2 linked regions of the Macaca fascicularis genome follow. The protein of the gene in region 1 interacts with the protein of each later gene in a pairwise test. Links are inferred from orthologs where the notes say so. Each region holds a gene or a part of one and is shown on either strand. Other genes may lie near its edges.

Evidence for each region.
Region 2: the proteins of AP2B1 (region 1) and CLTC interact in a two-hybrid assay, tested with the Homo sapiens proteins (2 studies listed by BioGRID, with this or other methods). The link is inferred for Macaca fascicularis from reciprocal best matches to the Homo sapiens genes AP2B1 and CLTC.

Annotation. Positions count from the first base shown.
Region 1 is NC_088390.1:41,928,345-41,931,998, forward strand, and holds part of AP2B1 (AP-2 complex subunit beta), read left to right. Parts: intron 1-1,541; coding exon 1,542-1,763; intron 1,764-2,297; coding exon 2,298-2,418; intron 2,419-2,543; coding exon 2,544-2,639; intron 2,640-3,654. UniProt on the Homo sapiens protein: Component of the adaptor protein complex 2 (AP-2). Adaptor protein complexes function in protein transport via transport vesicles in different membrane traffic pathways.
Region 2 is NC_088390.1:47,021,350-47,025,003, forward strand, and holds part of CLTC (clathrin heavy chain 1), read right to left. Parts: intron 3,579-3,654; coding exon 3,408-3,578; intron 3,049-3,407; coding exon 2,827-3,048; intron 1,626-2,826; coding exon 1,605-1,625; intron 1-1,604. UniProt on the Homo sapiens protein: Clathrin is the major protein of the polyhedral coat of coated pits and vesicles. Two different adapter protein complexes link the clathrin lattice either to the plasma membrane or to the trans-Golgi network.

The sequences.
Region 1 (3,654 bases):
TCTGCTCAGCCTGTTACCATGTAATGTTGCAAATTTTCTTTAGTTATTAGAAATTGACTACTAAATTTCATCTACACATACATACATTTTAGTTTACAAAGTTGGAATTATCTCTAATTTTTATTGAGCATTTTGTATATGCAGGCACTGTACTAGGCAAAGTACTTCTGAAGAAATGTTGACTCTTCATTAAAGTTGGTATATTTTAATTATGGTAGATAAGAACTGGTCTGGCTGAAGCTGATTTCCAAGCTACTAGAATGTAAGTGATCTTCACTTATCTGGGAAATAGTCCCTCTAGACTGAACTAAAGCTCACTCTGATAGTTTCTTTCCATCATTGAAAGTACAAATACAGTCTGGAAATTACTGAGAATTACTGTTTTCTTCTGTTGGCCATTGACATCACATTCATTCATTCACTCAGCAAATATTTATTAAGCGCATACTATGTGCTAGGCAGTGTTCCTAGGCCCTGAGGATACAACAGTGAACAAAGTCATGGCCCTCTGGGATCACTTATTTGAAGGTTGGGGGTAGGAATATATAACATGTATAGATAGTATAATATATTATATGTATAGATAGTTTAATATGTAATATGTGAGATGGTGATAAGTACTAACAAGAAAGTAAAGTAGAGAGTGCCGTTATCTAAGAAATCTAAGAAATGCTGGACATTTGGGGGTGGGGGGTTGTATTTTATTTTTAAAAGATGGCCAGGGAAGGCCTCACTGAGAAGGTGGCATTTGTATAAAGACCCAAAGGAAGTCAGGAATAGGAGGAAGAGAGAAACACCGCCTATTTATCTTGTTTCTTTAATACAGTAAGTTAGCTACTCGTGTTGCCCAAGCTATCAAAATTGGATTAATTTCTAAAGAACCCTCAACAGATAATTAAATATCTACCATTTTATGAGTCATGTAAGTGTAGGTGGCAGGGGCTGGGAGAGCAGGGAGATGGGAAAATATAGTAGTGGTGTCCTGCTATTTAAAAAACAAACCCTTTTCAGAGAGTCCCTTATTCTCATTATCCTCAAGACAGGAGATTGGATTGTTTTCCCTACCAACCTGCCTCCTTCTGTATCTTACAATGAAATCTTCAGCCATAACTGGGTTGCTGGCACTTCCTATGAAATAACTCTCAGAATGCTTAATTTGACTTCCTATAGGTTGAGTAGAAATGGGCTGAGAGGCAGGGAGCCCTAACATAATATGGGGAGACAAAGAGGACTATAAAACAAGAAGGTAAATGGTGTGAGCTCAAGTGTCTTGGGTAATGCTAGTTTCTTTCCAGTTTGAACATCCCTTATTGCTGGTTTTCTGAAGTCTTCTGATGTCCCTGCTCTGCCTGTAGTTTGCTGAGAATGAGGCTTCTGCATTGTCAGATCCCAGTTTTACCTAAGCATAGAGCTTTGACTTTTCTAACTAATTCTTGAATTTTTTGATACTTGGGTCATTAGACTCTGACATATTACCTTATAGAATGAATTCAGCAAAGAAATTATAATTCATGATATTAATTTTCATTCTTTGCCCTCAGCATATGTGAGCGGGTAACTCCCCGGCTATCCCATGCCAACTCAGCAGTGGTGCTTTCAGCAGTAAAAGTCCTAATGAAGTTTCTAGAATTGTTACCTAAGGATTCTGACTACTACAATATGCTGCTGAAGAAATTAGCCCCTCCACTTGTCACTTTGCTGTCTGGGGAGCCAGAAGTGCAGTATGTCGCCCTGAGGAACATCAACTTAATTGTCCAGAAAAGGTTGGAAAATAGTGAAGTGTTGATTAAAGTCTTTGTGATTTTGCATTAAGCTTAATAATGTTAATGTTAATTAGGCTAGTGTTAATCTCTTTTTAATATATGGAAATGAAAATGTTATATGGCAGAACAACTTGCTTGCCTAGCACCAGGAGGCTAACAGTTGATATCACAGTATTTCTATAATAAATGCCATGTGTTGCTGCACAGTCCAGTTTGTTTTCTGAAGGGTCTCTTTCTGATACACTGTCTAGTGCCTGGTTGATATGGTTCACGTTGTAGTTTAGAGCCAGATTGTTGTTCTTTTAGCAGTACTTCATGGCAACGTGTGCCCTGATGCTTAAAAAGGATAAAAATAATCTGCCAAGTGGAACTGATAAGAATAGAGGCATATAGAGGAAGTTTATGCATTTTTTTTTTTTTCCTGAGTGGAGCGAGAGGAGAGCAGAGAGGCACAGATTAGGTATTAATACAGTCTCAGAAGGGTGTATCAGTATATGCCTTCACCTTCCTTTCTTCTGTTTCTGTGTACCCTAGGCCTGAAATCTTGAAGCAGGAAATCAAAGTCTTCTTTGTGAAGTACAATGATCCCATCTATGTTAAACTAGAGAAGTTGGACATCATGATTCGTTTGGCATCTCAAGCCAACATTGCTCAGGTCAGACTTTATGCAGACTCAAGTTGATAATGATTTAGCTCTTAAGGTCTGGCCTTTAAAGAAGCTAGGCTGTGAGATTGCTATTTGAGAATCCTTAATGATTAACCACTTCCTCCATTTAACAGGTTCTGGCAGAACTGAAGGAATATGCCACAGAGGTAGATGTTGACTTTGTTCGAAAAGCTGTGCGGGCCATTGGACGGTGTGCCATCAAGGTGGAGGCAAGTGTCTGATGGTAGTTAGGATCATGTATTGGGGATTCTGAGAGTTCTCTTCACTTTTTTCTTTAAAATAATTTTTAAATTTATCAAACTAATAAAGCACACCATTTAAATGTTAAATAATTTTTGATGGAAAGCAGCTGTCTCTGGTCCCTCCCTTCCCTACCTAGACTCTCTTCTCAGAGGGAATAATTTTTTTTTTTTTTTTTTTTTTTTTTGAGACGGAGTCTCGCTGTGTCGCCCAGGCTGGAGTGCAGTGGTGCGATCTCGGCTCACTGCAAGCTCCGCCTCCCGGGTTCACGCCATTCTCCTGCCTCAGCCTCCCAAGTAGCTGGAACTAGAGGCGCCCACCACTACGCCTGGCTAATTTTTTGTATTTTTAGTAGAGACAGGGTTTCACTATATTAGCCAGGATGGTCTTGATCTCCTGACCTCGTGATCCGCCCGTCTCAGCCTCCCAAAGTGCTGGGATTACAGGCCTGAGCCACCATGCCCAGCCTAACCAGTACTTTATAGCAACAAAAGGAGGCAGATGTGTGTCAGAGGATCTTCTATGAAATACCTGCTACTAATTGGCCTTCTTTGTTTTTTTCAATTTAGTACTGCTTTATGTAGTTTCTGTTGATAAATCATTTGGTAGACTGGCTGTTACAGCAAGAAGTTAGCTGATCCTGGATTCTATTCCTGGTTCTGCTAGCTCACTTGATTCAGATGTTTAATATGTTTGTTTCTCTTCATTGGAGAAATGGGAAGGTCTTTTTATTGGATCTTGATACGTTACATCTTTTTTATTACCACTATCACCACACATCACAACTTGTTTTTCTTTTCTTTTTACATTAACATATCTTACTAGCCGTGTACTTAGTATTAATATAGATAATTTTCAGAGAGATTTTGGTAGCCTAAGAGTAAGGTGGTTTTGTTCTCTTCACTAGTGTACATAGCCATCTCTTCTGTGAGACTGCCATTGTCTTATGACCTCTCTGACAAAGCTATAAACAGTAATACAAAA
Region 2 (3,654 bases), about 5.1 Mb from region 1:
AAAAATTCTGATTCTTCTATATGATGGGACAGCCTCTGGCACAGGGACTTTCAATTTTTGTTTCCACTGATCCAATTTAGATTGCTCAAAAAAAAAAAAAAAAAAAAAAAGCATAGAAGGCTTTTAAGAACACAAGCTTTTGTTAAGAGCTGTAACAAAAGTTTCTGATCCTTGGATTTAAAAAGAAAAATTACAGGTAAGCATGTCAATGAATTCAGTTCCATCTGTACTACTGAAAATTCACTAAAATGTAAAAGGCTTTTCCACAAAGACTGCAATATGCTGCAGAGGAAAAGTAACATGCAGTCAGTTATTTTGGTGTATGTGTGCATGAAAAAAAGGCAAAAGTACTGAAGCAAGAAGTGTGATCTGAAGATGACTTGCTATACAGGCTCTCAAGAAACACACACAGCCCACAGCAATGCTATAAGAGTTTCAAAAATAGTATGATGTAATTGCAATGACTGTTGTACATGCTCCATTTAAAACAATGCATAACACTGCAGTTCAATTACCTGTTTTTCACACACACGCTTTCTAACTGCCTTGCTTACTAGCTGCTGAAGGGTCTCACACACAATGCATTTTACTCAGGTTTGCCCTAAGTTCCAGTGGTGACTCCAGTTTGGTTCAACATAATCCCAAGGCATTGTCCCCCACCCAAATTATTTTCAATTTGTTTCAACTCTCCTTTACCTTCCCACCCTTTTCTAACCACAATTTGATAACAGACGTAAGTTTGTTTCATTCATATTGGGATGGAGACAAGCCAATGAAGGAAGCAGCAACCAAAAGGTGCCTGAATTTGACCTCCTTGGACAAGCCAACTGATAAATAGGAGAGCAAATTTTAGGTAGCTTCAGTGGTATGCCTTATTACAGAAAGTAGAAGTTAATACTTTGTTAAAAGTAATTCATGTTGCTTAGCAACAATTATAGCAAGCTTGGCTCTCGTGATTAAAAAGGTTTTGATTCCTCTTAAAAATGGACTAGCACCATAAGAACTGGACACCTGGAGAAACATGAGGAAAGTCTCTTCGGAAGCAGCTAGTATCTCTTGTATCTACTTTCAGCAAAAAATTAGTAAGAATCAAGAGATCAGAAACTGGATCACAGTCCTTCAATACCAAAAAAAAAAAAACCCCAAAAAGCCTTTTAGGGCATGTATATACATATATAAATTCAACAACTGTCAGGCAAGCTCACAAAGTAAAACCAGAGGCTGTTTTAATTTACTTCAAGTATTATGATAGTCCTATTAGGGTCCAGATACCCTGACAGGGAAGAGAAATTTCCTGTTACTTTGGAATTAATATGGAAACTCACCATACTCAGTTTTTCATAATATATTTAAGAGAGACTGTGAACCAACTACTGATTAGCCTCCTGCCCTTCCTAAAGCCTATTAGCCGATTAGTAGCAAACGTCTACTAATGTCCTACAGTTCTATTAAAGTTATGTTTCAAGGGACTTGCAGAGGCTTTAGTGAAAATTTATTGGGGGGAAAAAGCAGCAGCAGCAGTGTAGAAAAGGAAGGAAAAAAATCATGCAAATTCCTTAGACTTAGTTCTCCAGACTTAAAGATGGAAAAGAATCAACTTTCACCTTTTCCTTTATTGCATCAACCTGCAAAGGAATTCAGAAGGTGCAGCTTAGAAAAAAAATCAAATTCCATATTGAGCATAAAAAGGTAGAATCAGCAACAAAGGTTTAGGGAAGAAACATCTAACCACTAAAAAGGTATGAGAGAAGTGAAAATAAAGGGCATACTGGAAGCAAAATTTAGATTTTTCTGTAACTTCAAAGCTTACTGCAGAAGAATTTATGCTACAGTATGAAAGAAAGCAGCTTAATCACTAGTAAAATTTACAGCACTTAGGTTAACAGCAGCTTAGAGACAGGTCTCACAAGTTGGCATTATGTTTAAGAAGCTATTCTCATCTATGGCTAAAACATGTTGGCTAAGACAAGGCAACATGTTTTTTCTTACATTGAATACAGAAAATGTTAATTCTTTAAAAACTTGAAACAGACACAATGGTATCTAATTAAATGATATCCTGAGGAAAAATTCAGTGTAGTAGGGGTTGTTGGTAGTGCTCCCACTCCCCCTACCCCCGCCTTAACTCAGGCAGGCTGAAGGAATCAGTTGGGAGAGTCTGATTTTAATCATGTTTTTTGCTTTGACAAAAAGGATCCTCTAAAACCATTTAAAAATGTTCTAGAGAGAGAAAGCTAGTAACTGCTGAAGACAGAGTGAGTAAATTCTTATATCAAAAAGGGACACTAAGATGAATAGTGAATTTTACAAGGCAATTAGACCCCCAGCTTGTTTATGTGTTCACCTCCTATGATATTTTTAAATCAGGGGTTAAACTATCAAAAAAAATTGTGAAGATTAAAAGGATGTTAAGAATATACATGCAGCTTCCCCAGGGGAAACAGGCATAGACATCACTAAAGTCAGGAGCCAACCAAATAAAAGGGAATCTACAATACTAGTTATGATTATTTGAGTTACAAGAACTGAGTTTGAGAAAAATGCGACTTTGAAATAAAATTTATCGAATAGTTTTTAAAATAAAAAAACAAAATATAGATTATTTTCACAATCATAAATACACTGAGGGTAAACAGCTACATTTGAGTTCCCCTTCCAAACAGTGTCATTTATCAGCTATTAAAAATTTTTCAAAAGAACAGGAATATTTTATGATCGACTAAATGACTTCTACTAAATAAAAAAAATTAAAAAAATTAATGTGCATGTAGAATTTTACATATCTGCAAGAAAACTACTTCTGAATACACTTAGAAGAGTCATTACCTTTGTCAAGTATTCCTTCATGACCTGGATGAAATAGGGCATGGCAAAATCCATGATATTGTGCCTCCATGCAGTTTCTAGGACAACATCTGGCCTTAAAAGATCGTAACAGGTAAACAGACAAGCTCCAAAGCACTCTCTTTTTTCTTCCTGCAAAAACCACTGCAGGAGTTCTTCAGCCAACTCAGTATCTTTAGATTCAGAAGCATACTGCATTGCATCCTATTCAAAGAAAATAGTGAAAGTCAAAAAACATTAGACCCAACATACTAAACTAGTAAACCAAGAAAAACAATGGAACCTTTCCAATATAAATCTGGTTTTGCAAGGGGGAAAAAAGCCTCCTAGTTGTATCATTTAAATTAAAATTTTCAAAGAACAGATAAGCTAAAGGCCTTTTTTTCCCCCCAAACAAGTTTGACCTTAACATAAGAGAGCCCCTAGAATCAAGAAATCCATTAACTTAAATTGCCTTAAAGTCAGTTCTCATATTCACAAAACCAATACTTTTATTTATAGAAATCACTTGTAACATCATTTTAGGCCTGGTTTAACAGCCCCCGCCCCGCAACTTTATCAACCTTGTAAAGGCTGTCTTTCTTGCACAGCTCTACACTCTGTTTCCAGCGATTGTTGCCTTTGAAGAGATAAGCAGCAATTCTCCTGAACTCAATGAGTTCATGTTTTTCCAAACGCTGAGCAAGCGAGATATTGTCAAAGTTGTCATAAGCATCTATTGATGTTCGCAGAGCCTTAAAAAAAAAAAAGCCATCCAAATGCCAGATCAGTATTTTGTTTAACATTATATTCCGTCCTCGATCAATGAGC